Linked DNA regions of Oryctolagus cuniculus. The protein of the gene in region 4 interacts with the protein of the main gene of each other region in a biochemical or structural test. Links are inferred from orthologs where the notes say so. Each region holds a gene or a part of one and is shown on either strand. Other genes may lie near its edges. The genes, in order: YOD1, SQSTM1, UBE2E1, NEDD4, TNIK, TRERF1 and HNRNPUL1.

Evidence for each region.
Region 1: the proteins of NEDD4 (region 4) and YOD1 form a complex in vitro, tested with the Homo sapiens proteins (2 studies listed by BioGRID, with this or other methods). The link is inferred for Oryctolagus cuniculus from reciprocal best matches to the Homo sapiens genes NEDD4 and YOD1.
Region 2: of the proteins of NEDD4 (region 4) and SQSTM1, one has a biochemical effect on the other in vitro, tested with the Homo sapiens proteins (2 studies listed by BioGRID). The link is inferred for Oryctolagus cuniculus from reciprocal best matches to the Homo sapiens genes NEDD4 and SQSTM1.
Region 3: the proteins of NEDD4 (region 4) and UBE2E1 form a complex in vitro, tested with the Homo sapiens proteins (7 studies listed by BioGRID, with this or other methods). The link is inferred for Oryctolagus cuniculus from reciprocal best matches to the Homo sapiens genes NEDD4 and UBE2E1.
Region 5: the proteins of NEDD4 (region 4) and TNIK form a complex in vitro, tested with the Homo sapiens proteins (2 studies listed by BioGRID). The link is inferred for Oryctolagus cuniculus from reciprocal best matches to the Homo sapiens genes NEDD4 and TNIK.
Region 6: the proteins of NEDD4 (region 4) and TRERF1 interact in a test that uses a peptide from one of them, tested with the Homo sapiens proteins (2 studies listed by BioGRID and IntAct, with this or other methods). The link is inferred for Oryctolagus cuniculus from reciprocal best matches to the Homo sapiens genes NEDD4 and TRERF1.
Region 7: the proteins of NEDD4 (region 4) and HNRNPUL1 form a complex in vitro, tested with the Homo sapiens proteins (2 studies listed by BioGRID, with this or other methods). The link is inferred for Oryctolagus cuniculus from reciprocal best matches to the Homo sapiens genes NEDD4 and HNRNPUL1.

The regions. Positions count from the first base shown.
Region 1 is NC_091444.1:22,175,508-22,179,872, forward strand, and holds the start of YOD1 (ubiquitin thioesterase OTU1), read right to left. Parts: upstream 2,964-4,365; coding exon 2,621-2,963; intron 1,745-2,620; coding exon 1,041-1,744; 3' UTR 1-1,040. Other genes in the region: PFKFB2 (6-phosphofructo-2-kinase/fructose-2,6-bisphosphatase 2), read left to right, coding at 3,237-3,252, 3,761-4,365. UniProt on the Homo sapiens protein: Hydrolase that can remove conjugated ubiquitin from proteins and participates in endoplasmic reticulum-associated degradation (ERAD) for misfolded lumenal proteins.
Region 2 is NC_091437.1:67,652,790-67,657,398, forward strand, and holds the start of SQSTM1 (sequestosome-1), read right to left. Parts: upstream 2,970-4,609; 5' UTR 2,609-2,969; coding exon 2,167-2,608; intron 5-2,166; coding exon 1-4. UniProt on the Homo sapiens protein: Molecular adapter required for selective macroautophagy (aggrephagy) by acting as a bridge between polyubiquitinated proteins and autophagosomes.
Region 3 is NC_091435.1:159,712,736-159,717,255, forward strand, and holds the start of UBE2E1 (ubiquitin-conjugating enzyme E2 E1), read left to right. Parts: upstream 1-1,569; intron 1,570-1,816; coding exon of another isoform or gene 1,817-2,242; intron 2,243-2,328; coding exon of another isoform or gene 2,329-2,408; intron 2,409-2,480; 5' UTR 2,481-2,512; coding exon 2,513-2,664; intron 2,665-4,520. Other genes in the region: basic salivary proline-rich protein 2-like, read left to right, coding at 979-1,569, 1,817-2,242, 2,329-2,408. UniProt on the Homo sapiens protein: Accepts ubiquitin from the E1 complex and catalyzes its covalent attachment to other proteins. Catalyzes the covalent attachment of ISG15 to other proteins. Mediates the selective degradation of short-lived and abnormal proteins.
Region 4 is NC_091443.1:78,614,042-78,617,963, reverse strand, and holds part of NEDD4 (E3 ubiquitin-protein ligase NEDD4), read left to right. Parts: 5' UTR 1-683; coding exon 684-2,216; intron 2,217-3,922. UniProt on the Homo sapiens protein: E3 ubiquitin-protein ligase which accepts ubiquitin from an E2 ubiquitin-conjugating enzyme in the form of a thioester and then directly transfers the ubiquitin to targeted substrates. Specifically ubiquitinates 'Lys-63' in target proteins.
Region 5 is NC_091435.1:109,161,002-109,164,923, forward strand, and holds part of TNIK (TRAF2 and NCK-interacting protein kinase), read left to right. Parts: intron 1-540; coding exon 541-1,686; intron 1,687-3,922. UniProt on the Homo sapiens protein: Serine/threonine kinase that acts as an essential activator of the Wnt signaling pathway. Recruited to promoters of Wnt target genes and required to activate their expression. May act by phosphorylating TCF4/TCF7L2.
Region 6 is NC_091436.1:127,684,000-127,687,921, forward strand, and holds part of TRERF1 (transcriptional-regulating factor 1), read left to right. Parts: coding exon 1-260; intron 261-3,247; coding exon 3,248-3,635; intron 3,636-3,922.
Region 7 is NC_091449.1:13,323,792-13,327,713, forward strand, and holds part of HNRNPUL1 (heterogeneous nuclear ribonucleoprotein U-like protein 1), read right to left. Parts: intron 3,724-3,922; coding exon 3,457-3,723; intron 1,943-3,456; coding exon 1,820-1,942; intron 1,736-1,819; coding exon 1,607-1,735; intron 1-1,606.

The DNA.
Region 1 (4,365 bases), on a different chromosome or scaffold from region 4:
TTTCAAAGTACAAGATCACAGATTAAGCAAAGTGCTAATTTGCAGAAATATGGAATTATTCAAGAGTGGTAGTGGAGGGACAGGGCTGGCACAACACCAAACACTGTTCAGGTATGCAAAGTCTTGTAAAACACAAGCCGAAGCATAGCATTCTCACTTTGGATGAAGATGTTTTTTGGAGGAAGTTCTCGTGACAAAAAGCTGAGAAAATTACATCCCTCCAAATTTTCATGTAAAGAAAGCAAAAATCAAATACTGGAATTTCAAGGAACTTTGATTAAAAAAAAATTACCCTGCTTAATTTTAAAATTGTACCCAACATGACAAAGACCAGCACAGGAAGTGCATTGACACACGAGGCTGACGTCCTTGGAAGCCGCAGGGAGCTGCTTCAGGCACCTTTTCCTCATACATTCTACTTCACACACCAGAAATCCGCAGCAGGACACAGGCGCTCCTGCTGTCAGCGACATTCTCTAGGAACGCACTCATCCCTGTAAAGATTGCTTGTTACGTACTCAGAAGTGGTTAAGTACACACTGATAAAGTCTACCAAATGGCAATATAAAATCAGTTTTGACAATTCTGAGTATCTTCGTTTGATAAATCAATTCATAATTTAGAAACTATTAACTCACTCAGTTGTTAAAAGGACTCAATTACTGGAGACACTGGTACACGTCCGGGGCCTCATGAGAGGCTGTCAACATTACTCGAAATGTGGCGTTCTCTTCTTCTACAGGTGAAAGCTGCTGCGTGCTAGTTTATAATACTGAAACTCAATCTCCAGCAGGTGGGGGGCCACCTGTTCTGTCACCCCCGTGGAAAGAGGGCAGGCATCACCACTGTAGACACACATCTGTAAACTTGCACACTAATTTTAATCTTAACAAGGAATTTCAGTGTCTTAGTGGTTTCAAGTTCAAGGTGTGGTTCAAGCATTGTGTCCTTTGTTCTTTAGGGTCAGGAATAGCTTATTGGAAAACCCAGAGCCTTCTGGATCTGTGAGGTAGTAGGCTTCCACCCTCATCATGCATAGATCACACTTCTCCAAAGTTGGTGTGGCCTGTCTCCTTGGCATGCTCTCTTGCCTCTGCCTGTCCAGTCAGCCCCTTCTGACACACCATGCATCGCAGGGTGAAGCGGTTGACGTCGGTAAACTGTCTCTTTCTTCTAGCTTCATCTGCTAGTTCCAGTGCTTGTACGAGGACAATGTCATCGTTCGAGGAGAAGATGGTCAGAGGCGGCGTGTCTGGATCCGGGAAGTCTCGCTGCAGCGGGTCGTAGTGGATGCCATCGTAAATCAGCAGGACCCTTTTGGTATACCCCGCGTCTTCCCCGAAGCGATCGATTCTTACCGTCTGTGTATCCACTACACAGATTTCACACTGGTAAAATTTAGACAAGATGGAGATTTCAATCGCTCCTCCCCAAGTATCATCCCTTTTGATCCAGTCACAGTACTCTTGATTTGTTTTTCCCAGTATGGCCTCACTGTAGAAGTCTGGATCGCTCGCTACGATCTGTGCTATGAGGCGTCTCATCTCAGGGGCGCAAGCTGGATCCAGGACGCCTCCTTCAACCACATAGTACACGCTGGTGAAGAGGCAGGAGTTGTCTGCTGGGACCACAGTCCTGGAAAGCACAGGCAAGGTTTCCTTGACATAGCTAGGAGCACCGTGTTTTGAGAATGCAGGTGAAGCTTTGGGCCTGGTTTGGTCTTCTTCAACGATCAGCATATCGCCTGTTAAAAATAAAACAGATCCAGAACTGCAGAGAAATGACAGATGAGATTAGCCAAGTCTGTAAATTACAAATAGAAGCTGGGGTTACGATGGAGAACACTGCTGCCCCTAGGAACACTAGAAACACCTGACCCCGACTGTTCACAAAGGTGAAAACAGAACAGACTTCAAGCTGCACCCCAAGCAAACGAAGCCGGAGGCCTACACCGTCACACTTCCTTAAAAAGATACATTTAAAACAAAATTGCCTGCGAAGCCTTCGTCCGGAGGGTGTTTTCCCTAGACCGGCCGCTAGGGGGCTCTCGCCCTCCTGAAACTTGGCCTCTCTCGCCCCGCTTGTGTTTACAAGGTCCCGGATCCAAGAACAAAAAGCTTTTAATTACAACGTTGATGTTCAAGTTTTAACACTGGACACAAATAATTACTGTCGGTTAGGACTTGAAAGAGCTCTCCGTGGATGTTTACAAGCTAACTCTACGAGGCGTGCACCTGTTAAACTTAACTATTCAACGCGGGGGACTGCAAAAACGAACCAGGAAAGCCAAAGGAATAACCCCGGACCCTTCAGACCGGCTGGCCAACGAGCGACACCGGGAACGAGCGCTCGGGACCGAGAGGCAGGCCCTACCTTTTCCAACTTTTGCGGATGCACGGGGAAAACAAGGCTGAGCTAGCTTCAGGGAAGCACAGAAGGCAGGCTGGGGAGGGCGAACTCCTGGGCTCTGGGCTTCTCTTCCAGCCCTGTGTAAAGGCACGGAGCTGCCGGACACTTGGCCCGGCCTCCGTCAGCGCCCCCAGCCACCTGCCTTGCCTGGGTCTCCGTCCCCGCGCGCGCCCCTCAGGCCTTCCCGCTGGTCCCAGCTCCGATCCCTTACCTGATTGGATGGGCAAGTCCCCCAGAACGGTGTCCCCGTCGCTGAGATCCAGGCACTCGGGCGGAAAGCCGACGAGGATTCGCTGACCGCCGGGGGCGATCCCGGTGATGGCGGCAATTTGGCCCTGGAGTTCTCGCACCCGGGTTCGGCTGGACAGCCCCTGCAAAACATGGGTGCCATCCTTGGCCTTGCAGCGCAGCCGCCACATCGTGTCGGACTGGCCGCCCACAGGCCAGACACCCGCGGGGCCAGCCTTGGTGGCGGCCGCAGGAGGCGAGACGCCGCCGGGGCAACCGGCCGCCGGGTGGACTCCAAAATGGCCACCCTTCGCGGGGCCAAACATCGCGAGAAGTCGGCGCGGGCTACAGTTCTCGCGACACTTTCCGCCTCGGCCCTTGGAGGAGAGCGAACTCCCTTAAAGTGGTCGCTGGTGTTGCAGGGACGAGGATGCGCCCCGTATCCCTAAAGCATCCCTGGCCTCGCCGCGCTCCGCGCCGGCGGCTTATAAGGACAGCGCGCGGGAAGAGGGCGGGGAAGCAGTTCCCGGAGGGAGTCGGGTGGAATGTCGGCGGCCAGTGATTAGGCCGGCCGGGGCCTCCGCCCGACACGGCTCGGAATGCTAGGAATGGCCAGTGAGTCAGCGGGGCTGTCAGACGCCATCGGAGGCTCGTGGCCGCCCGCGCCGGGGCTGAGGGGCCGGAAGCCCGACCCTCCCACCCCGGCGGCAGCAGGCGGCCGGCCCCAGCCTGGGGGGCGCAGTGTGAGGAGGAGCGAGGGGCCCGAGCTGCCTCTGCAGTTCCCGGGCGGACAGACCCCGAGTCGGCCGCGTCCCCGCCTTCGGTGCCGGCGGTGGCGCGGAGAGACTCGCGGTGGGAGCCGCGGCGCCGCTGGGTGTCACGGCGAGGAGACAGTGCGGGGTCAGGTGGCCCTTCCCCACGCTGTAGGCCTAAAACCCAGGGCTGTGCCTGGCGTACAGCGCAGGGGCACGGGGAGGGCCGCTGCCACTCGCCGAAAGGGGAGATAGCTACACGTTCGAGCTGTTTGGGAGAATGTCTTCGCTCCCGGGTGGGGGGGGGGGGTAGAGACGCCCCGGGATTGAGCTCTAGCCCAAGAAGTGCATTTGCACTGCTCTTTATCCAGCCCGGACCCAGAGCGGCAGGGCTCCTCCTCTACAGCCTCCAGCATCAGCGGGACGAGGGCAGGCCCCTGGGACGTGCAAACTCACCGCCAGCGCCGCCGCCTCCGAGTGGCCACGAGGAGCCCCTGCTCTCTGCAAACACCTTTCCCACCCAGGCCCCTGCCGGTGCCGTGGAGCGCCTCGGGCCTTCAACACGACCGTCACAGATGCTGTCGCGTGGGCGGGGCGGGGCGGGGGCGGGACGGTGGGTGAAGTCCAGCCGGGCGCATGGCTGGGTCCGGGAAGCCCCCGGTCCCTCGTTAGGGTACACGGTCTGACCCACGGGGAGCGGCACGCGAACACTCGGGGCGCGACCCTCAAGAGCACGGTGGACGCCGACTCCCGGCGCCTCTTAGAGCTTTCGCTCGGGTGTGCGGATCCCACGCTGTCCGCCTGGGACTCAGGGATGAAAGCGTTAACCTCTGCGGACGCCGGCTGGCGCGGTTCAGTCTCGCGAGAGTTTTTACAGAACAGTCAGGCTTTCTGTGGGCCCCGCCCCCAGCCCTGTTGGTTACCAAGCAACGATGCAGCCCGCCCGGGAGCCCGGAGACTCCGGAGCTGGTCTCAC
Region 2 (4,609 bases), on a different chromosome or scaffold from region 4:
TCATCTAGAGAGTCAACGCAGCACGTAAGCACCGCAGCGGGGGCCAAAGGAGCACTGGTGGCCTCAATACTCAACTTGCCACCTTCTTATTTATTTTTGAGACATGGTAGACAAGCAGAGCTCCTATCAAGGGCCGGGACTGGGCTGGGCAGAAGCCAGGAACTCAATCCAGGGCTCCCATGTAGGAGGTGAGGACCCAATTACTTGAACTTTCACCTACCCCCTGCCAGCATCTGTCCTGGCAGGAAGCTGGAGTCGGGAGCTGGGATCCAACACGGGCCCCAGGTATCTTAATGGGTGAACTAACCACTAGGCCTGATGCCCACCAAGGCCACTTCTTTAGGGGTGGGGCTGGACAGATCGGGGATAAGAAGGGAGCCTGCCCATTCACTGGACAGGAAGTGTGCCCGCCTGGGCCTGAACCTGGGCCACGGTCACACCTAAAAGGCAAAGTTTCCGCGTACACTACACGGACAATAACAGTGCCCTGTCCCTCAGAGGCCCAGCCCGCCAAAGGCTCTGGGCTGTCTGCAATGTTTAAGTGGAGATGAGCCCAGAGGCCTGCTGCTTTCTCCAACGAAGAAAAAAGGCTGAGTCCTTCTATGTTGGCTTCCGTGATTTTAAAGCATTGCCACACAGACCAGACCAGACCGCACCGTGCACAGGCTGCAGGCGGGGCCTGGACTTGGGCACCAGAGGGCAACATCTACCCTCAGAGCAAGAGTGGCACTTTTGCGAAACAACCCAAAAGTCCATCAACTAATGACACAAACACGATATGGCATATCCACAAAAGAAACGAATACAGATGCAGCCTACACCTCTGATGAACCTGAACGCATTTCCCTAAGGAAAGAAGCCAGACACAAAGCTAAACTGTACAACCCCCTCTCCACCACTGTCCAGAAGAGGACGCCCAGGAGAGAAAGCAGCTCAGCGTTGCAGGAGCTGAGGGAGACAGGTAAAAGGCATGGGGTTCCAGTGGAGAGGAAGGGGTTCTCATGCTGACTGCCAGCGCCTGGCCCCGCTCTCCAGCCCCAAGTCTGCTCAGAAGTTCCAACTGGTGAATGTGTTAAAGACCACTGCATCGGGGCAGGCATTTCTGCAGCGGCTAACTGGCAGCCCGGAACACTGGCAGCCCATATGAAAGTGCCTGGTTGGAGTCCAGGCCACTCCACTTCTGATCCCGTTTCCTGCTAATGTGCACTGGAGGAGGCAGCAAAGGATGGTTCAAGTGCCTGGGTTGCTGCTACCCTCCTGGGAGACACTGATGGAGTTCAGGCTCCTGGCCTGGCTGGGGCTGGCAGCTGTAGCCATTGGGGAGTGAACCAGCAGATGGTAGGTTGGGGTGTGTGTGTATGTGTCTCTCTGCCCTTTCAAAATGAAATAAAATTTTAAACCCTTGAATTATATACTTTAAATGAGTAAATTTTATGGTATGTGAATTACAGCTCAATAAAATTGTCACCAGGAAATTAAAAAAAAAAAAAATGCTGGGCAAGCTACTGAGGGCGGTCCCAGCCCTGCTCCCTCCCAGGGGCGGGCCTTGGCCGAGGACCTCCCTCCCACACTGCTGTCCCGGGACCCCACCCCCAGCAGCAGCTACCGGTCTGAGCAGCGCAGCCAGAAAGAGCGGTGGCTCCGGGCTTGTCCCCACTCTGAGTTTGTGGAGAACGTTTCGACATCGGCCGTCTCCCCACTGCCTTGTCCCTGGGCGACCTGCGGCCTACCCCGGGCTCAAGGGCCCTGCGTCCCCCAGCCGCCCACGCCCACCACCCACTTTCAGGGCTCGCTGAACGCAAACCTGGCGCCGGCGGGCCCAGCCCCGGCAGCAGCAAGATGTCAGTGTAACCCGAGTGCCCGCCTGACCACCTTCTCAGCCCAGGGCCAGAGAGGACGCCCCGGCGCGTCCTTGGCGAGATCTGCAACATTATGGCGGGGAACAGGAAGCATCTAACGACCCAAAGTCCCCAGCCCGCGGGGCCTGATCGCCTCGGCCCCTGAGGGACAGGGCCTGGGTCACTGGGCTGGCACCCGAGGTGCAAGTGGGGTACGCGCAGGTCACCGCTCACCCAGAGCGCGACCAGCACAGCATCCCTTCCGACGCAGCCGGCACCGACTAGGAAAGGGCAGCCCCGGACCCCGGCCACCCCCCGGCCCGCTCACCGCGGTAGTGCGCCTGGAAGCCGCCGGGCCGCAGCGCCGGGAACAGAGCGGCCACCCGGGCCAACAGCCGCTCGCAGGGCCCGGGGCCGGCCGCTGCTTCGGCCTCGGCCTCCGGCTCCGGGCTGAAGCAGAAGCTAAAGCGGCGGATCTCGCGCGCCGCCTCCTCTTTGCCCAGGAGGTAGGCCTTCACGGTGAGCGACGCCATCGCAGCCGGAGAACGACGAGCAGCTGCGCAACCGAGGGAGCACCGGAGGAGGCGGCGGCGGTGGCGCCAGTGGCGCGTGGCTTTTGTAGGGCACGCGGAAGCCCCGCCCGACGTGGACTCCTGGGGGCGGAGCCTGCACTCTTCGGGTGCCGCCCCCCACCGCCGGGGCCGCCTCTCGCGAGTCTCCCTGCCAGGGCCCCGTGCCTGCTTGCCCCTCTCCCCGCTGCCCTTTGACATGGTCTACCGCTCTCAGTCTGTCCCCTCATTGCCCCCAGGGCACCGGAGACCCCCAGAGCAGGCCTCAGCATCTGTACCTCCTGAAAGGAATGGGCTGGGGTCCTGTCCGAGGCCCCTCTCCGGCTTGGGCCTGGCTGTGACTCAGCAGAGCAGGTCCCTGGTCATCAGCAGGGGTTGCCCAGCACAGGACAGAGGAGGACACACAGAGCCCTCTATCCCAGGAGGCATCTAGGCTGCCCAGTGGGCACCACCAGCCGGAACCAGCTGGCTGCTAGGGTACCCTGCTGCCCTGCCATGCGTGACCCCCAGAAGGCAGCCCTACACCAACCACAGCCTCCTGCATGAGCGTCCCTAGCTGTCCAGGGCCGGCTGGCCGGCTCGTCCACTAGCGACGGCAGTCAGTCACCAAGTGCTGACTGCAGCTCAAAAAGACACATGGACGCCCCCAGCCCTGTGAGCCCAGCAGGCTGAGCCTGACGCCCCAGGCCCTTCCTCACCATCACCAGGAATGGTTGATCAGGGGTCCTTGTTTTAGCACAAGAACTTCAGCCATGGGACAGAATAGCAGCAAGCGTGCTGGCCAAGTCTGATGAAAAGAATGCACCTGACAGAGTAGGCGGGCATCTCCATCAAGAGCTGAACCCACCTGCTTTCAGACTGGGGTTTCTATGGATACGGGTATAGCCCTCTTTCTCCTCTCCCCTCCCCTCCCCTTCTGGGACACGTCTGGGGGAAGGGCTTCCAGAGTGTGGAATTCCTGAAATTCCTCCCAGAACTTCATCAGCAGTATTATTGGACCTAATAGCCACACACACACACACACACCCCCCCAATGCAGGGCAGGGATTTCTCTAAGCTGCCCCTGGGAAAAGGCTGGGACCCACTCAACAAGGTTATAGAAGGAGACCAAGGCTCTTTTTTTAAAAATGTGTTTATTTATTTTACAGGCAGAGTTTTGGATAAAGAGAGAGGTCTTCCCTCTGCTGGTTCACTCCCCAAATGGCTGCAACAGCCAGAGTTGAACTACTTCGAAGCCAGGAGTTCCTTCCAGGTCTCCCACGTGGGTGCAGGGTCCCAAGGACTTGGGCCATCCTCCACTGCTTTCCCAGGTCATAGCAGAGAGCTGGATCAGAAGAGGAGCAGTCGGGACACAACCGGTGCCCAAATGGGATGCGGCGCTGCAGGTGAAGGCTCAGCTGCTGCGCCACAGCACTGGCCCCACCTGAAACTAAGACTTTTGAGATGTAAATACTGCTCTGCTTCCCAGGCTTGCTTCTGTGGTTCTTCCCTCACCCAGCCACACAAATTCCCATTTCTTCCCTCTCACAGATGCAGGCTGCCTAACAGACCTGTCAGGGCAGGGGGCCAATGCAGCAGGTGCCTGCCTGTAGGGCCTCAAGAGTGTTGGCCACAAGGGCGGCCAAGGGGATGGGACCAGTCACCTTTCAGCTGGGAATCCAGAAACTCTGCTTCCTGGGACCAAAGTGACCTGTCTGCAAGGCCTGGGGGAAGGCGCTGGGAAGGGAGGTGTGTCACCCCCCCCCCCAGACCTCCCAGGCAGGTCCTGTGACTAAGAGTCAGCCCTGTTGGGTCAAACCCCCCCCCTTTCAGGTCAAGTTTGTGGGAGCAGCTTGGGAAGCCCAGCGATGAGGGTGGGCTGGTTGGATGGGGGTTAGGCAGATGCACAGGTGGCCAGGCCACAGGAGTAACGGGATCCTGCCCAGCGAAGCCAGCCAGGCTCCCGTGCCAGGAGCAGCCTTGGAGAGGCTGGTCCATGATCCCTGCCGCTGTGAGCCTTGGGAAAGTGTCCCTGGGCCTGCTGGCCCCTCTGCCCCAACACAGGGTCGGGAGTCCCGCCAGTGAGGGGCGTGCTGGGCAGAGGCTTCGGCCTGCGGCAGGTGCCAGCCAAGCGTGACTCAGCAACAGCAGCCCGAGCGCCACGGAGCCCAGGGGTGGGCCGCCCGGCTCCCCTGGGTCTGAAGGCGGCCTCAGGTGGACCAG
Region 3 (4,520 bases), on a different chromosome or scaffold from region 4:
AACAGCTGCTGCTGTGGTCGCTTCCTGGTAAGGATTGAGCAAGAAGCGTGCACAATTACTTTATGAGTCTTGATAAAGCTAAAAGGAGTTCAGCTGCGTGGTGAGTAGACCTGTTTTCCTGATTTCTGGCTATGTCACCGGCCTTAGGTTTTGTGTTGTCCTCTGGTAACAGAGGCCTCTGTTGTCACGGGAAATGAGGGCAATTTGAATAATTTAAAGCGGCCCACGGAAGTCTAAGTGGGCTCTCTACGTACAAGACCCTGTGTGCGAGCAACTGTTGTGTTTGGACAGCACACAGTTCTTCAGTTCCCTGCAACTGAAGTGACAAAACCCACGTCGCCAAATCGCGTTGATGGCTTAAGACAGTAAAAAAATGATTTTTGGTAAAAAGGCGAAATAAGGAACAATTTAGAAGGATGCCTGTGATTATTCTAAAACTAGGGTTTGAACAGCATTTATATTGTAGCTCAAGCAAGTCCAGCGGTCCCCAGAACTTTCCATCCACTCTCCCTAAGTCAGGCTAGATACCTGAACGCACGCGGACAGCAACAATTCTCAGTGCGGTCTAGTTCAGTTCGTGCGTGATTTCCCCAGTTACAGGTTGGCTCACTTGTCACGAAATCCTCTGTATCCCTTTTATAAAACCGGACCACTTTCCACCCCCCCCCCCAAAAAAAAAAGTGACTGGCAGAATCTGACATTGTAGAATCGCACGTGCCTCGTGCCTGGAGCAGGTACCTCCTGGCTGGGGTTTGCTCCCAGGCGTGCGTGCCCGGGCTGACCTCGCTCCGGGCAGGTAAACGGCCAGGAGCGAAGCAACCCCACGCTAACCCCGTGCTGGGGTTTCTCGCCTCACTTAGGAGGACTTCCCGGGGTCGGCTCTGGTCCGAAGTCCTGGCCAGCAGCAAGCCCCCCCCACCCCGCCCCAACTCCTCTGGTCGGGAAGAACTTGCTCTCGCGACCCCCTCTGCCGTCTAGTTCCAGTCGCTCCCGGCGCCCCCACCTCTCTGCCGCCCGGAACCCGGGTCCCCGGGCCACTTGCAATTCACAGCCGTGGCCCCCTCCCCGGGCGCGCGGCGGAGGCGCGGGGCCGGCGTCCCCCGGGTCCCCTGTGCGCCCCCCGGAGGGCTGGCCGGGGGGGCAGGGAAGCGCGGTGGGTGGGTGCGGGCCGGCGGGGGCGGGGCGAGGAGGAGGAGGAGGAGGAGGCGAGGAGGAGGAGGGGTGGGGAGCGCGAGCGTGTGTGGCTGGGGGAAGCCATTGCCTGTTTAATAGTTGCTGTTGCTGCACTTCCGCTTCTCTCCCAGCGAGAGCGAGACACGAGTGGCCAGGCCCAGCCGCAGCCGCAGCAGCAGCCGCCGCGGCGGCACGGAGGAGCCAGACACAAAGAGAGGTACGGGGATCCCCCCCGCCGTCCGCCGCCCCCCGGCCGCGCCGCCCGGGCCTCGGGGACGCCCGCGCCGCCCGGGCCGCCGGGCGCGGGGCCGGAGGAGGGAGGGGGGCGGCCGGGGGCGCCCCCAGGGGTCCGGGGCCCGCCCGCGGGGGATGGGCAGGGGCTCCGGGCCGCGTGGGGTGCGGGCCGCTCGCGTCGGGGCGGGGGGTGGGGGGGCATTGTGGCTCGAACTGTCAGCGCGGCCCCGGGAGCCCCCCACTGGCCGCCGAGGGGGCCGCGAGCGGGGGAGGGGGAGTCGGGGGAGCCCCGCTGTGTGTCCCCCCCCCCCCCGCCCCCAGGACGGGGGCCGGCGGAGAGGAGCCCCTCCCGGGCCGACGGGCGCATTGTTATTCCCTCGCCGCGGAGGCCGGCCCCCCCCCCCCACAGCCTCCCCTGGCCCTCCGCGGGGGGCGATCGGGCGTGTGCCCGGGACCCCGGCCCGGCTTGCGCAGCCCCGGGGGGCGGGCGACCGAGGGCCAGGCCGGCGGGGAGGGGCGTCGGGGCGCGGCGCGGGAGTGTGTGTGTGTGGGGGGGCGCTCGGGCCTCGCCGCCCCTGCCCCCACCCGGGCACCCGCTCCCCGCCCCCGGCCCCCCGTTTCGGCTTCCTCTCTCACTCCTTCCCGCCCCTGCTCTCGTCCCGACCTCGCCAAACTCCGCTCGTGGCCTCCCCCCACCCCCCGCCCCGGCCTCCTGGGCCGCCGACCCCCCGCGACCCCCGGAGAGCGGACAAAAACAGCCCCGAGGCCGGCCGCCTCCGGACCTCGCCTCCCGGCCCGGCCCTGCTTGGCCGCCTCGGCTTCCCCTTCTGGCCTGGTGGGCAGCTCGCTGGGCCCCAGACCCCTGTTCCCGCGGCCCCCACCTGGGCCCAAAACAAGCAAGCCGCGTCCGACTTGCACCAGCCTCGCTGGGCCTGCGGACTTCGGGGGAGCGCGTGTTGGGCGGTGGGCGGCGGGGGGCACCCTGGCCCGGGCGCCCCTGACGGCACCGGCCGCCTTGTTTACACCGCCTGCATGGCTTGTCTGTTTCTGTTCTGTCTCCCTCCCCGCTGCAGGGGCTGTTCGCGGGGTGGGTGGGGGGTTCGCTATGTCGGATGACGATTCGAGGGCCAGCACCAGCTCCTCCTCATCTTCGTCCTCCAACCAGCAAACCGAGAAAGAAACAAACACCCCCAAGAAGAAGGAGAGTAAAGTCAGCATGAGCAAAAACTCCAAACTCCTCTCCACCAGCGCCAAGAGGTACGTGCCCGCTTTTCCGCAGGCTCCCTGTCTCCAAGTGCCTGCCTCCCAATGCGGGCCGGCTCGGTGTGCGCGGGGCTGTGTCCCCCGAAATGAAAGACGTGGCCTTGAAAGTCCTCCTGACTGTCGCTTTCGCTGCTTGTGTTTTTCTTTTTAATTATTGTCCACTTGCGACCGTGGCGGCTTGCCTCTCTCTCCATTTCTTGCTCAAGTTTGGAAGAATCTGCATCACTTTCATTGGTGACCCTCGAATCTGGTTTCAGTTGGCTTGTCCTATTAATCAGTAATCTGTGCCCCTCCCCAAAGCTGTCATCGGGTTCTTCATACTAATAGCTGCCCAGGCAACTCTTAGCAAAATGAATTCTTGGACCATTTTCCTTTTTGGTCACCTGTTGCACAGATGATATTTTTTAATAGTGTTTTCTCTACAAATTGCATAAGGAATAAATGGCTCTCGTTAGGTGGTAAAATATATGGATGGATGAATGGATAGATGATTGATAGATAGATAGGTAGGTAGGTAGGTAAGTAGGTAGTAGATGGGACTGGTGTTGTAGCGAAGTGGGATAAAATAATGTTTGGGATACCAGCATCCCATATTGGGGTGCCTGGGATGGAGTCTCAGCACCAGCTTCCTGCTACTGCTCCCGGGGGGCTGTGGATAAAGGACCCCCAAATACCTGGGTCCTTGCCACCCCTGTGGGAGACCCAGATGGAGTTCCTGGCTGCTGGCCTGGGGCTGGACTAAGGCATGGCTGTGCAGCAATTGGGGAATGAACCAGCAGCTGGAAGACCTCTCTCTTCCTGTGCCTTCTAAATAAATACATGTTTTATTTTAAAAAAAGATTTAGTAGGTGAAGACATGCTTTCTGAAGGAATTTAAAGAGATTTTTCTGATTTGGAGGGTTGAAGCAAATGGATCAATAATGGTTGTAAAATGGTTATTTTGAGGATTCAGTTTTGCTACTAAGAATGTCTACTTACCAGATTTCGGGGAGGCATGGTTTTTTCATGCTGTTTGCTCTTAGGCTGTAAAAATGTTGCTTCACCTTTGAAGCCAAGCAGTGGCTGTTTCTTCTTCAAGTCTCTGGAGGTGACCACTTGTTAGCCCTGTCGCTGTCTTTGAGTGATACCCGTGATGCCCTTGACCCTTAAAATAATCTGTAGTAAGTTCCTGGGAACCCCCAGACACCCACTCATCAATCCTCCTGTTCTCGGCTGGTCATTAAAGTGGCTATCAGGAATCCAAGTGCTGAGTTCAGACACCTTACTTAAAGAATCTGAAATCAGATGGAATCTGGGGCTGTAGGTCTGTCCATTGAGGAGGGAGCCTGCAGTTTGTACGTGCAGAGTTTGTTCTGTCACTGAAAATTCGGTCAAGTGTTTTGGTGATTTACCCATGGGCTGATGAGGGAGTGACTTGTGCTTGTTTTACATGGCGTGGGGGTCTGGGGTTCCGTGGCAAGATGGTTCTAATTGTCAGCGGCCTGGTTTGATGCCTCTGGCCGGCGCTGATGGGAGCCTGGCTGGACAAGCCGTTCCTTAACTCCTCCCATTCCCCCAAGCCTTTAGGTTCCCTGACCTGCTCAAGGCAGGGTATTTGCTTTAGGTTGTTAGTGTTTTTATATTTTGTGGGACATCCCTGCTATATAGAAACCCTGGAATACCTGGGGGTGGGGGTGGGGTAAAGGCAGGTGTCAAATACAAAATACCCTGCTTTGGGTCCGTGAACAGTAGTGACAGGAGGATTTTTTTTCAGTAGACAGAAATTGTTAAAAAGTTGTTTGGAAATGGCTGGGATGACAGTTGGGGCTGCAAATAGTAATTTCCAATCAGTTAACATCAGGGCTTTTGTT
Region 4 (3,922 bases):
TCCAAGTTTATACAACTGTTTGAATTTTCTTGTTAAACGTTTGTTAACAGCCCGGGTTCTTTCTACATTAACTAACTTGACTAGATTCCTAGTATGGCTACTATTTGGAAATTCAATCTTTGATTTGATACTCAATTACATGGGCTTTCATTCCTACCAACTTCCTGTAATTCTATACCTTTGGGTAAAAATATTAGTGGCCAAACTGCTGGAGAAGGTAAATGCACTGTGATTCACAGAGTTAAATGCTCATTTAGTAGAGCTGGGGTGAAAAAACACTGTTTCGACTTGAAATGCTAGAAGATTGTTGTTCTTGTGTTACTCATTCATGCAAATTGGAGAAGGTATAATTGAAACAAGGTTGGCTGTGTTTGAGTCAGTGTGCTGCAGCTGAGCTCAGCTTAAAGGTCGCTGGAAATCGAGTGCTTTGTAAGTGAAGGCATTTTGACTACAAGCGATTCAAGACATTTTGGAATCGTCAGTCTCAGGAATGGGCCGTCTTTTTCCTCCTGTGATATCTGGTATCTAATGGTTTACTGAGGGTAAAGGCTACTGCTTCGTGGCTCTTTCAGGCACCACCAATGATTTTTTCTTTTGCTGCGGTGCAGCTGCTTCTAGCCTGTCTCCCGACAGAGATCTTTGTTATGACTTTCAGCCCTTAACATGTTTGGAAATGAGAACAAATGGCACAAAGCTTACGATTGCACTTTGCAGCCAGAAGAAGTAATACTTACCCTTTGTCAGAGACCTCCGGAGATGATTTGGATAGCCATGTCCACATGTGCTTCAAAAAACCAACACGGATTTCAGCGTCTAACGTGGTGCAAATGAAGCTGACTCCCAGACAGACTGCCCTAGCTCCATTAATAAAGGAAAGCGTTAAGGCTCAGGAAAGATCATCTGTTCCTGCATCTGAAAATGTTAATAAAAAGAGCAGCTGTCTACAGATTTCGCTGCAGCCAACAAGGTACAGTGGATGTCTTCCGTCTTGCAGTGTCTTGGCTGATGGTGATGATGTGTCTTCGTTTGCTCGTGTCTTGAAGGATGACATTGACAGCAGTGCTGTGGTTGATAATGAACTAAGTGCTGTGAGTGATGGCAGCCTTTTGAGCAGTTCTGCCATTTGCAGTGGTAGCCTCAGTAACTTTTCAGTCAGTGATAATGGATCTTACAGCAGCACCGGTAGTGATTATGGGTCATGTGCAAGTATCACAAGTGGAGGGTCGTACACGAACAGTGTCATCAGCGACAGTAGTGGTTATACTTTTCCCTCAAGCGATGATACTTTTTTTGGTGGAAATTTATATTCTGACAGCACCTCCAACAGAAGTGTGCCAAACAGGAATACTACTCCCTGTGAAAGTTTTTCAAGAAGTACAAGTACTGTTCCTTTTGTCCAGGATGACTTGGAGCCTGGAATAGAGATTATGAAATTGCCATTGAGCAGGAACCCGAAAATTCCACTCAAGCGCTGCTCATCCTTAGTGATTTTTCCTAGGAGTCCTTCAAGTACCCCACCAGCTTCTCCAACAACCACAGGTACTCTTCCAAGCAAAGGCTCCTATCAAACTTCTCACCAGTTGCTCGTGTCTCCTAATGAAATTGCACATAATGAAGATGGTACTATTTCTAAGGGATTTCTTTCCACAGCCGTCAATGGACTTCGGTTATCTAAAACAACTTGCACTGCTGGAGAAGTGAGAGACATCCGGTCGCTTCATGGGAAGGGCTCATTGCAGAAGAAAATTGTCCTTTCAAATAATAGTCCGAAACAGACTGCCTGTGAGAAGTCGCCTGAAGGATATTCTTGCCTTTCAGTGCATTTCACCCAACACAAGGTGACCACAGTAGATGGCAAAACTACGAGTGGTCATTGTAAACCAGAGAAGTCGGGAGTTAAGCTTAATTCCGATTCAGAATGTAGCAAGCTTGTGCACAAGACATCTGCATGTTTGCCATCCTCCCAAAATGTAGATTACCAAGTAAATGTCAGTGGAGAGTTGGAAAGACCAAATTCACAGATAAACAAAAGCCATGCCATTTTACAAAGGAGTATTTCATTGGGAGGAACTTATCCAAATATTGCCTGTTTATCCAGCCTTAAGCACAGTTGTTCTAAGGGGGGACCATCTCAATTACTCATAAAGTTTGCATCTGGAAATGAAGGTGAAGTTGACAGTAGAGATGTCACAAGTGAACTGTCTAATTCTTGTAAGGTAAGTTTCCTTTGGTCTTGGTATATGATAATTTTACACTAGAATAGCTTACTGAAATATTTTGTTAACATTTATTAAGTTAGCATTTCCTGATCCTTAGCTACCAAGTATTATATAGTCAGAAACATTATATTTATAAATCCAAAGAATCTCTGATAGTTTTCTCACTTTGTTAATTTAGCAGTTTCCTGTATATTTTATATATATATATATTTCCTATATCTTTTTAAACCTCTCCTAAGTGATTTAAGCAATAAAATGTTTAAATGGCATAACAGCAAGTTTTAAATAACAACCTACTTCAAAACATTGTATCTTGGTTTATTTTTTTTCTCAAGTGGCGTACTATTTTATTAAATAACTCCTTATTTTATTCCTACTTTCAAAAATGCTCATTTGCTGTCCTCCCTTCCCTTACTATTGTGAAATGAAGTAAGACAGAATGTTTCTAAATGATAGTAAACAAAAAGCTATGTGAAGTGTGAAGATCTTATTACAAATGACTGTAGGAGAAAAATTTCCATAAAATATATGTATTTATAACATCACTGATGAAACTACCATACTGCATGTGCAGAGCAGAGGAAAACTAAGTGGCATCTGCGTCTGTATAGACCCCAACCACAGGAATTTTGTTTCCACCCTATTTTTCTTTAGCCACCAGTTAATACTGCCTTCTAAAATATAGCTCATTCTTTTCAACAATATTAAATTCTGAGTTTTCTATGTGTGAATTTGGTTTCAGTTGCTAGGCATTTCCCATAATTTTCTACTTAGCTTAATAATTTGTTGTTTTGACAGTTTGCTTTATTATACTAGTGATTTTAACTCTAGTAAATCTTAGCCAAAACAATTCTTTATATAATATGGCCTTTCCAAAGTATTTAAAGTATTTTGAACACAAATAGATTTTTGAGTTTCTGTATTTGGAAGCTCTTGCCAGAGTCTAGGAAATTTACAATTTTTCTCTGACTAAACCTCTTCTAGATGACAGGACATAATGGGTTTTTTCTTTTTGTGGGGGGAGGGACGTATCTGTTTGTGTTTATGTAACATTCGGTATCTGTATTAAAGATTAAAACAGAAAAAAAAACAACTTCTGGACAAGTAGTTTTAGGTCGATGTGAAGTAATAGCTCATTTGTTTTCTGTCTTTAGAGATCTGATAAATATAATCATTGTTGCCCATGCCCAAAGTTAATATAGGCAGTGTCTTACTGAGGATGAAATAAGATCAGATTTCAGATTCTGATGTATGTTTTAGAATTGCTCACTCCATTTAGAAAACTTGTTTAAAATCAGCTTTTGGGAGATTATAATCCCTTCAACTATTTTCCCCTACAGAAAGAAATGAAGTGACACTGTAAAGAAACATATTAAAAGCTGTCGATTTGAACCTGATACAAGTTGCAAATTTATTTTACACTTAATTAAATAATTAATCTGTAAAGAATAATTAATGTAATAGAAGTATTAATGCAGTTGATTTTCTGGCAATATTATAAGCTGGTTTTGTTGGTGCTTTTGAAAAAGGGTATTTTTAAAGGGCTTTTTATGGAATGTGAATTAAATGCCTTTTGCATTGCTGGGAATATACATTTTTAGCAGTTTTATTTACATCTAGGTATGCCACCTTAAATTTTTTTTGCAGTAATCAAACACCTAGTTTTGTGCAGATTTTATTTTATAGTGAATTATTGGATTATA
Region 5 (3,922 bases), on a different chromosome or scaffold from region 4:
GGATTTCAGTTCTGTCATTATTTGGGATTTCCATCATTTTCCTGTGAGCATAGCTAGTCATTTAAAGGGATGTTTGGATTATTTTATATTTTTATCTAATATATTTATAGACATTTCTAGCTAGAGCTGTTTTCAAGTTATCTAGACTGCAAGATTGCCAGAACCAGATGTTTTACATGAAATCTGATTTTTATAAGAATGTTTCTTTGTTTTTCTATCGTATCTTACATATGTACAGAAAATGTTTGAAATGATATTCTCCTAGTGTTAATGAAGGTGGTCTATAGGAGGTAGAATTTTAAAAATTGACTGTTTCTTAAAAAATGCACTATATATATTTAATAATCGTATACTCTAGTGAAAATGACTTTTAAGACTTAAAAAAAGTAAATCTATAAAGAAAATGTTTTGGGTTTAAGGTCAAGAACATTGTTATCACTTTCCCCTATAATCTGTAAACATGATCCATATTTACCTGTGTCTGTAATAGCTGCCTCTTTCTCTTAGATCAATAATTCAATTTTGTAATCCTACTCCCAGGTACAGCAACGACCCCTTAGTAATCCATCTGTTCTTCCAGCTAAGCAGAATCACTATGCTGTTAAACAGCAGCTGACATGCTTCCTGGCTGGCAGAGATGTGCCGCCTTCCTCCACTGCTAAGCCATTGTCTAGCCATGCCAAGTTGAAACCTTCAGCTAAGCCCGACCCTCAGCTCCTGAGCGTGGCAGGTGTTCAGAAACCTGAAAAACTAGCCTCTGTGAAGGCCATGCCGGTAGCACCTGCAGGAATCAGTGATTCCAGATCAAGACTCCTGGGTGAGCGTCACTCGCGGAAGCAAGATGGGCCAGCTCGTCCTATTAGACCTGTTTTGGACGAACAACTGAAGCCCCAGGAAACGTCAAGGACCACAGTGAGATCCCCAAAGCGATCTCGCTCGCAAGGATGTAGCCCAACTCGAGAGTTAGGATCTAAGGTCATTTGTGTGTCCTCCCCCAACATCTCCAAAGTGACGAGCCCCCAGCTGGCCCTCACTGCAGCTAAGGAGGGCCTCAGAGACTCGCGTGGCCCGCAGGACAGGAGGGGCGTAAGTTCATGCGTCTCCACAAGTACCTCACCTCTTCTAAGAAGCGCTGCGTCACTAAGTGATCTCTGCGTGGTGCCTGACCACCCGGCCTTCAGTGGTGCCAGCCCCAGGCGTGAGTTTAGAAAAGGGGCGCCTGCGGATGCCGCTGGAGAGGACCACGACTCCTTGCAAAGCATCCCAGCCGTTCTTCTTTCCTCTGGGCTGCTCCCGCGTGCACACACACCCCCGAAAACGGGGGAAAGCCCGAAGCAGTGTCTGCTTCCCTCCTCCAGCCTCTGCCCAGCACGTTCCGATTGGAACTTGTCCACTTTGAATTCACTGATTTCTAGTTGCTATTTGTCCTCGTCACTCAATTTCCTGGCCTATCCTGTCTATTCAGAAGCAGTGCACAGCTCCCGAGCTTTCCGAAGCCCTGGCATCCCTGAGGGTAAATCTTTGCAGATGTCGTCCAAACAGTTTCCTAGACCACCTCCTCTGCCTCCTGGCCAGGCTCCTAGCGGTAACAGAAACGGAGCCGTTGGGCATGCAAACGACATGGCTGTGTCATCAAGCACTCCTGATGTGAGGGTCCCCGGCCACCATAAGTGTGGGCTGCCTCTGGTGGGTGACGTCTTGCGAGGTTCCTGGCTTCCTAGCAGCTGGCACTCCTTCTTTGAGCTTCATGCACTTCTACACATACGTGGGAGCCTTCTTTCACATTACATCCTCTCCTCCTGGGTGTGGTTAACAGAATCCAGCTGTGAACTAACCATCAGTGCACTCATGAAATGATTCCTAAGCCTTCGAGCGGGCGGTCATGTTTGAGAAGACAGATGAAACATGTAGATGGTAGGAGGAGTGGCAGTGCTATCTTTGGGATTGGAGCAATTGGTGTGCTAATAAGAACAAATAATTGTCTGCCTCGGTTTGATTCATCATTTTTAACACCCACTTATTAAAACAGGAACAAAAATGAATGTGAGGATCCTTATCTTCTTGTCTTTCAGTGCTTCTCATCAGCAATGTATGAACTGTTCCTCTTCTGAACCACTGTTTACAGATCTCTTAAACCAGGGAGGGTGAGGGGGCTCAGAGCAGCCAAATAGTAACATGTTTCAAGACTTTAGGTAGGAATAGAATTCCTAGCTTATCAGTCTCTTAGCTAGCAACTGCTAAGCTGGGTTAAACTCTGCTGGTAGAATAAAAAGGTACCATTTTCTTTTTTCAAATGTATCCTCATCGGGATGTAAGCTTGAAAATATCCTCCCCAGGGAAGAGTGGGCAGCCTGTGTCACTGTGTCCTGTGATGCAGGGTCAGGATTTTCTGCCCCAGATGCCATGGAAGATACCACCCAGCTGTCTCCCTACCCCTTGCAACGTCTTCTGGAAGCTGCCCCACCACCTGTTTTCTAACTCCGCGCTCTACCGTCTTGTCAAGATGGGGCTTTTCCCCCCTTCTTTCATTACTTTCCCAACCATTTCTCTCCCTCACGCCAAACCGGCAGTTTTTCATCAGCGAAGTGATGTTACGCTTCATCCTCTGCGTTTTGATTTCTTCATTTTGTAAACCAGAAGTGATCGTGGCGTTTCTCATTATCTTTCTCATTAATATTTGTTGGGTGCAGTAAAGACAAATGGCAATGCTCAGTCATTTGCAAATCTTGTTCAAGGCTTCCCTCCCTCCTTTTCCTGCATGTTTTTCTTCTGTCCTGAAAGTCACATTGGCTTGACTTTTCCAGGTTTCAGCTGGAAAGGAACAATAGTGTCTGCATTAAAAGGACAGACTCTGCTGCTCTTTATGTCTGCCATCTCTGGATTGGAATGGAAGTCAGATTTGCTTTGTAAAGGACCGATGGAATTTGAAAGTCCTTTTTCCCCCTCACTTTTTAAATGCTGGAAGTTCCTTTTTTTCTTTCCCCTATTACTCAAAATGGCATGTGATTATCAGGGCCTGGCATTAACTTTGTGGCCACCCCCTACTAACCTCCCACATACTTAAAAATTGTTTTGCACCAACATGCAGTAGTGACAGGATGCTCTAATGCCCTGTTTACACGAGTGTTGCATGAGACTGTGTTTTGATTTCTGTGACACCCCATCCTGTTCTCTGATGCATACTCGTCATCTGGCCATAGTTCTAAACTATGATGATCTGTTCAGGGCCACAATACTTCTTTGTTTCCCATCAGCCTTTTGGATTCTAAAACCCTACGAATAAAGACTTCTCTGCTTGGATTTTTTTTTTAAAGATTTATTTATTTGCTTGAAAGGCAGAGTTACAGTGTCGGGAGGTGGGGGGTGGGAAAGATCTTCCATCTGCTGGTTCACTCCCCTAATGACCACAATGGCTGGAGCTGGGCCAATCGGAAGCCAGTAGCACCCACGTGGGTGCAGGGACCCAAGCACTTGGGCCATTTTCCACTGCTTTCCCAGGTGTGTTAGCAGGGAGCTGGATCAGAATTAGAGCAGCCAGGACTTGAACTGTTGCCCATATTGGATTCCAGCACTGTAGGTGGTGGCTTTACCCACAATGCCACTGCACTTGTCCTTCCACAGTGTTCTACAAGTGAACTGTTTTTTTATATGAGCTACTTTATATTTGAGATTCCCAGATTATCTTTTCTTTAAAGCTCTGTTCCCATCTCTCCTCATTTTCTACTTGTTTTGCTTACGTTTTAACATAGAGAGACCTGGATGGAAACAGGAAGGAGTGTGCTTGAGGTCAAGTTCTTTGACTATGTGGCCTGGGGAAAGTTGTCTCACTTTGCCGAGATGCAGCTTGTCATCTGTACTTCCTGCCTCACAATTAGGAGGACCGGGGGCAATAATGTATTGCAATGCATGTGACATTTAAACT
Region 6 (3,922 bases), on a different chromosome or scaffold from region 4:
CGCCTCCGCCTCCGCCCGCGCCGCCGCAGCTCCCTCCCGAGGCCGAAAGCCTCACACCCATGGTCATGCCCGTGTCTGTCCCTGTCAAGCTTCTCGCACCCAAGCCCAGCTGCCAGGGCTTCAGCAACAGCGTCGCTGCCGCCCCCTCCGCCAGAGACCAGCCGGCCAGCTCCGTGTCCGACGACGAGATGCCCACGCTCGTGAGGATGACCCTCTCTCCCCCACACTCACCCCCAGGGGCTGCCCCCCACGCACCTGCCGTGAGTTGCTGCTCCGCACCGCCCCCCCCCCCCCCTTGCCTGGGCTGGGACATCCCTTTGCTTTCCTGGAGATGGGGTCGGCTCGTGGCCTGAGCCTCTCCCGGCCCAGCCCCCTCGTCCACACTGGTGGCCGCCATTAAACACCTGTCACTTTCCGGGCTAACAGCCTGGCTTAGATTTGGAGATACCTGAAGGTGTCTACAGAGGTGATGATTCAGCTGGCAACCACCAACACAGCCAGACTGCCTGTTAACTGTGGAAGTGTTTCTGCCCCAGATAGTACAGAGCTGTGGCCCAGGGCCCTGGCTCCTCCCCAAGATCACCAGACCTCTCCAAATCTACCCAAATCCAGCAACCAAACAGGTAGCCCCTGAGACAGCAGGGCGTCCAGGCAGTAGCCCTGCCATGCATTCTGATGCCCAGCCTCACCAGCTGCTTAACGTTCTCAACATGCACCTGCTTAAATACCTATAAGGACCTAACTCGTGAATGTTCCCCAGGTAGTTTCACAGCCAGCCAGCCACCCCCAGTCTCAGGAAAGCAAAGAGATTTGTGTCTCTCACTTGCTATTAAGTTCTTCTGTCTCTCTAATTCTCAGTGCTCACCCAAGCAGCCAAACTCCGCTCAGGGGCAGAGCCTTCCCCTACAACCTCCCCAAGGGATCCGGGACCTACATGGTTGGCTTTATCAGACCCGCCCCCACCCCCACCCCACAAAGTTGCTGGTTGAATCCTATCTGTCCTTTGAGACAGGTGGCTGCTGGGCTATCAGGAGGCAGTGTGGTAGGGTTGGGCCAGAGAAGGGGTAGGGAGGGTAGTTCAGAGCCTAGCAAAGCCCAGACAGAACCTTTATGGTTCTGTATGTGGCGCTGGGGTCTCAGGACAGGAACCTGATGGAGAACCCGACGAGTCCCATAAGCTGGTAGGACTTGGGAGCCAGCAGTAGGCAGAGAGGCACTGACACTTCCAGACTCCCCCTTTGCCCCGGGGAGGGTGCTGATGTGGTGCCAGAGACCCTTTGTACCCTTGGAGATCTGTCAATCAGGGGTCCTGACAGCACCCACCTACCCACCCATTCTAGACGGCAATGAGAGAGGAAGAGAAACCCATGCCCTGCACAGGGCTGATGGGAACACAGGGAACCCAGAGGGTCCCTGACTTTACGATGCTTGAGTTCCAGTGTTTCTACTGGTGTCGGGTGGCAGCCTCGGCTCCCAGCTCCCAGCAAGCTACACACTCGTGTGTGCTGTGTCGCTGAGCTCTGACGCTTGGCAGGTCAGGGGCGCTCCTTTTATTTCTGACTGGGGGTATTTTCAACTTCAGATGGCTTTAAGGGGACACAGCCACATCGTGAGTGGAAGAGCTTCCGTGCCTGGGGAGCTGATTAGGGAGTGGGAGCACCCAGGGCATTGGTGGGAGTTTGCTCAAGGATTGCTGAGCAGGGTTTTGAAGGAAGGGATGAGCTCAGCTTAGTGGAAGGGTGGGGGAGATCCAGCAGGGAGGGGATTGGCTGAAGTGGCGGCATGTAGGTGGGGCTAAGTCAAGATGAGCAAAGTCCTGGCACTAAAATATCTGGGAAGGAGCCTTGAGTTCCAATCCCCACTCTGCTCCTAGCCCCCTGGGAGGGAGCAGCTGAGACCCAGTTTGCTCCCCTGACCTTGAAGGGGGTGGGCTCTGAAGTGTTGTCACCCTGCCCTGTGGGCCAGGGCTTGCCCCCCTCCCCAGGAGTCTGACTAGCTTGGTGGGCTGCAGGTGCACCTGTGGTATTCTGGGTGCTCAGAGTCCTACCTGGAGAACTTAGAGCTGCAGTCACAAGACAGGAGGGTAGAGGAGAGGGAGCCCCAAGGGGACCTGTGGCCCCGGGGCAGAAGTCCAGGCCCCAGGGTGAGCTCTGCCTCTACCTAGAGAACCTCCACAGTTAGGGGGAGCAGGGTGTCAGGTTTCAGGATCGCTCCCCTCCCCCCATTCTCCTCAGCCTCAGGCACCAAGGAGCCCTCTGGTGGAGAGAGGAGACAGGCTGGCCTGCTCTGGCCTGAGGTGAGCTGCCTGGGGGCGAGGTCAAGTTCAGAACCTCCTCCTGGGTCAGGGAGTCTGAGGCAGCTCGGCCCCCTCCTCCCAGCCCCAGCTCCCTGCTTCCCTGAGCTCCTCTGCTGGAGGCCAGAAAGCTGAGGGAGAAGCAGGAAGTGCTGAAGGAGAGCCGAGGGCCTGCCGGGCCAGGTCACATGGTCTGGAGACAGCTAGTCATGTGACCTTGTCCAGCCCGTCCCATCACTCCTTGCTGCCTCTCCCTCAGGAGCCCCCCTGGGCACAGGGATCCCAGGAAGCCTGGTTGTGACTGGCCACTGGCCTGCAGGGCCTGGGAGGGCACCACAGCCTGGTCTGGCCCTCTCCACAGGTACCCCCTCTCCCAACCCCAAGGCCCTTCCAGCCACACCCAGCGGGTCTGTGTGGCGCCCGCACGCCGGCTTCCTCTGCACAGACACATGTTTACTTAATAGTACACATGTATCCAGGAGGCAGGTCTCCCCAACATGCTGCTGCCGCCCCCGCGAGCTAACGCCGCTCGGCTGACAGGAAGTGGGGCTGCGAGCTGCAGCCAGGGGTGCTGAGGCGGGAGGCGGCCAGGTCCACGGGATGGGAAGCAACAAGAAACCGGCCCTGAAGCGTCTCGCAGGGCCCAGGGCGGGTCGCCCCCTCCTCCTGCGCCCCAGCCTCCCCGAGTAATTGCTCTGAGCTTGCAGGTTCCCGCTTCTCGCCCACCCGCTAGTCCTGCCACCCCCAGCTCCCTCCAGACAGGAGGGGTGTCTTCCATAGCCCACGTCTTCTCCCTTAGCGGATCTGCCACAGCTCGCTTTGCCTGAAGTGGATGTCGCCCGGTGGGCTGGGAGGGGCCGGGCGGAAGCCCCCTTCCCCGCCGCGCACGCCTGTGGAGATGGCCCCCCTGGGCCGGAGCCTACGGTTCCAATCCCATCCTCCCTCCCGTTTCAGGAAGTCCCCAGGAAGCTGCAGTCGGGAGCGCCCAAGGCTGAGGAGCCCCCCAAGACGGTGCAGGAGAAGAAAAAGTTCCGGCACCGGCCCGAGCCCCTCTTCATCCCGCCGCCGCCCTCCTACAACCCGAGCCCCGCCTCCTACTCTGGCGCCACCTTGTACCAGAGCCAGCTGCGCTCCCCGCGCGTCCTCGGCGACCACCTGCTCCTCGACCCCGCGCACGAGCTGCCCCCTTACACGCCGCCGCCCATGCTGAGCCCGGTGCGCCAAGGCTCGGGGCTCTTCAGCAACGTCCTCATCTCCGGCCACGGCCACGGCCCCGGCGCCCACCCCCAGCTGCCCCTCACGCCCCTGACACCCACGCCGCGGGTGCTGCTGTGTCGCTCGAGTGAGTGGGCCGAGGATGCCTCCTCACAGGTGTCGTGTGCGTGGGGTGGCGGGGTCCCCCCTGTCTGTGCTGGACGCTCCCCAGGAGGCCTGCCTGTCTTTTATCTCCTGTGTGCCAGACGCTGTGCTGTGTGCTTAAAAAAAAAATACTTAGAATGAGGTAGAGGAGGGTAGTGGAAAACGTTCACGGGGAAAAATAGGATTCAAAGATAAATTGATTTGGGGACCAAGCAGTGTAAGAAATCGCGCCTAGCGGTTCACAGTGAATTTTCCACGAATTTTTTGAAG
Region 7 (3,922 bases), on a different chromosome or scaffold from region 4:
AGTCCCAGAGCACAGGGACACCAGGTACAGCCCTGGACCCTATCCCTCAACAAGCCAGCACCAGCCTATAAGGCCAGCAATGACTACACAGTGCTCAGCTGTGCGGTTGTGTGCCTACTGGGGCCTGACCTCCTGAGAAAAACTTGGCCAGGCCTTCACTACATGATCTAGCCCTGGTTACCATCCTCCGCGGGTCCACCTACCTGAAATGAATTTCACAGTTGATTTAACCAGCAAACTGAGAAAAATACAGGCAGGGAACAGTTGCTGGGGTATCCAAAAGAGGATGCTCAGACTGCTGAACAGTACCACTGCTCTGCTTTCAGAACCATGAGGTCCAGTTGGGGCCATGTCAGATTAAAATTCTAAAATGCCCTCACAAGGAGACAAAGTGAGGCCAAGGGTTTAAAAAAAAACCCAGTCTTCCAAGTGAGAGGAAGTTGGGTGATGCATTATTGGTGCAGCCAAGCTGGCAGAATAACCACGAGAAGCTTTTGGGCTAGCCTGTGTTCGTTACGTGGTGCAGGATTCTCAACATTCCGTGAATGCAACTTGGTCCCTGGGGATTCCTCTCTGACAAGCCAACAACCATCACTGGTTGTTCACCAAGACCCTGTGACCCAGCAGCTCAGGCTATACACACAGAAGACACTTCAGTGAGGCCACAGGATGGGGTGTCACACCCTTGTACCAAGGATGTGAACAGCAGTCTGTATTTGCCCACTCACAGACTCTTACGCATCATAAATCCAAGGCTTATTCACAGATCCACAAATATGGAAAATAAGGAAACACTCTCTGCTCCTTGAGTATGGCTTCAGGACAAATGTCAAGTGTGACGTTGCACAGGCAACAAGCATGTGGAAGTCATTATTCTGAGACAGGAATCCTTAACCATTTTGGGGTCACTCATCCTTCTGAGAATGCTGAAAGCCATGGACAATCTTTCTAACTCAAAACTGTCTCGTTTCTTTAAAAAAGACGTATCTCTGTGCATGTGCATATACAATATAAAACAAAGTATTCCATGTTCGATTTCAAAGGCTCTTAAATCCTTTGATGTTAGCTGAAATGTCAGGAAAAAATACATGACTTAGGTTTTTACCTGTCAATCATAAAAACTTGGTGAAGGAAGCTGGGAAATGCCTACTCGCAGAGGAAGTAATCGTAATCACCAGTTACTGCGTGCCAGGCCCTGCTGGGTATTGCATGCCATTATGACCTCCACTTTACAGACCAGGACACTGAGACCCATAGGGTAAAGTCGGCTGCCATGGGTACATAGTGAGGAAACAGCACAGCCAGGATTTCAGCCGCAGCCTGCCAGGTTCATAAATCCACACCTCTTCCATTCTATTAAAGGGCTCTCCCCTAATGATGTCCTTTGGAGCTGCTGCTGAGCCAAAGCTAGCAGGCCTGGTTGCAGCTCCAAACCCGGCAGACTGGGCCTGGGAGCTGGGCAGAGGCCAGACTGCATCCTCGTGTATGGCTGAACCCTGGCCAGCACCACAGCCGAAAAGCACTGAGAAAGGAGAAGGCTGGAGGGGAAATTTTAGGTACCCAAGAGGCCCGCCCCCTCCCAGGACATGCTGCCATCAGTGAGCACCTGGTCTAGGATATAGTTGCGTTTCTTGCGGGCAGCGATCTGGATGAGGCGGTTGAGGCACTGGGTGGCCTGCTGGATCAGGACGTCCCAGCGGCCAGCGTAGTTTCGCTGTCGGCGCAGGCCCATCACCTGAGGGTGGGAGAGGTGAGGAGTGAGTGGTCCTAGTTGCAGGGCAGCACTGAGCAGGTGGGAGGTGCGGAGCGCTGTCCTTACCCGCATCTTATCCATGATGGCATTGGTACCCAGGATGTTGTACTTCTTGGAAGGGTTGGAGGCTGCATGTTTGATGGCCCAAGTGGTCTTGCCAGCAGCAGGTAGGCCCACCATCATCAGAATCTACAACACAAGATGCAAAGGGATGCTGCATGGGGACTGGCACTGCCTTTGTTGGCGGTGACAACAGAATACTCTGATCTCATGGCTGCCCCGGAAAGTGGAGGCAGCAGCAGCAGCACCGGCCTCACAGTGCTGCAGCTGCGATTCAAAGGGGTCAGGCTGGTCAGATGCTTGGCCGAAGGCCTGGCGAGGGATGAGTGCTAACTCAACAGCTGTCATCACCAGCACTGACATTTTGGTCAAGGCAGGAAAAGGGACTCCGACAGGGAAAAGCCCCAGAAAGACTGTGCTCCAGGGCCGGTCCCTACAGTGGGCATGAGAAGTGGTACGAACTTATTGCAGTCAGAAACAGGAAGCGAGCTGTACACACACGAACAAGGATCACTCCTAATCAGTACACTCAGAATCAGCACACTCTAGATGCAAACTAAATGCCTCATAAGGAGGGAGAAGAGAAGGCAGTTTAGGATGTCAATAAAAATGATGTGCAAAGCAGGGCTTTCCTGTGGTGGGCTACAGCTCACAAGCACTAGTGAGGGAGCAAGGCAGGCTGTCACAATGCTCCAACCCTAATACCCTAAGATCTCAGTCACATGTGTACACCGAAACAGGCTCCCGGCATACCAAAGAGAATACCAAAACTCTTCAAAGTGAACTGATGAGCAGGTGGTGGTGGAGAGGGGAAATTTTTTTTTCCTATTTTCTAGAATAAACTTAACTCACACATACAAAAAAAAAAAAAAAACAAACACTATTTAATAACAAAGATCAGGGCTGGTGTTGTGGCATGGCAGGTTGAGCTTCTGCCTGCGATGCTCGCACCCATATGGGCACCAGTTTGAGACCCAAGCTGCTCCACTTCCAATCCAGCTCCCTGCTAATGCACCTGGAAAAGCAGTGGAGGATGGACCAAGTGCTTGAGCCCCTGCAGCCACATAGGAAACCAGAAGAAGCTCCCGGCTTCTGGCTTAGGCCTGGCCCAGTCCCAGCCATTGTGGCCATTTGGTGAGTGAAACAGTGGATGGACGATCTCTGTCTCTCTTCCTCTCTGTAACTCTTTCAAATAATAATAATAATAATAAAAAAATCTGGAAAACAAAACAAAACACAATAAAACCCAGAAAACAAAAAACCAGGATCCCCAGGACAGCTCCTGGAGCCTACTCATCTCCAAAGCCCGCCTGTGTCTTCTGCTCTCAGACACCCTGGGTGGCAGAGTGCACCCCCAGAAATCGCCTGCTGTCCTTTCTGCTGAGGCAAAGCCCTCCCTCCTTTTGGAATCTAAGACTCAGGTAGATGACATTAGCCCCTTCCTCTTTAGCCTAAGCCACAGCAGCTCCACCCATCTCCCACTCAGAGCACCCTTCCACACGAAGGGCTGAGGGGCCCACTGGGCCCAGTCACTCTCGCAGTGAGCATGCTCCTTCCCCACACCCGGCTATTTAGTTCCCCTCTGCCTCAGCAGCTAGGTGGCTGTGGGAGGCGGACGCCAGTGCGGCCTTGAGTCTGCTCACCTCACATTCTGCCTTGCTCTTTGGTCCAACGGTGCCGCGGATCCGCTCGCTGAGGGGAAGGTGCTGGATGAAGGTGAATCCTGGGAGGACAGAACAGTAGGGCTCTGCCCTCTGTCCGAAGTTGAACTCCACGGCACAGTTCTTCACCAGGACATGAGGATACAGGGCCTGACCCCCCAGGGCCTCCTTCTGGATTCGGAAGGCAATGCCCATCCACTTCCCATTCTTGGTGAAGGAAAGTTCCACATCGTTTCCACATTCAAAGTCCTGGGAGAAAAAGTCAATGACAATACTTGCCAACTCTCAGCACAAGGCCCTGGGAGCCACAGGTGGGAGAGAGTTGACGCAGGAGATGCAGGGAGTGGAAACAACAGCCAACTTTTCAGACTTAACTGAATTCCTCAACATTCAGGCACGCTAGACAGCACCAGGGAACAGCTCAGACAATGTCCAGCCCCAAACCCTC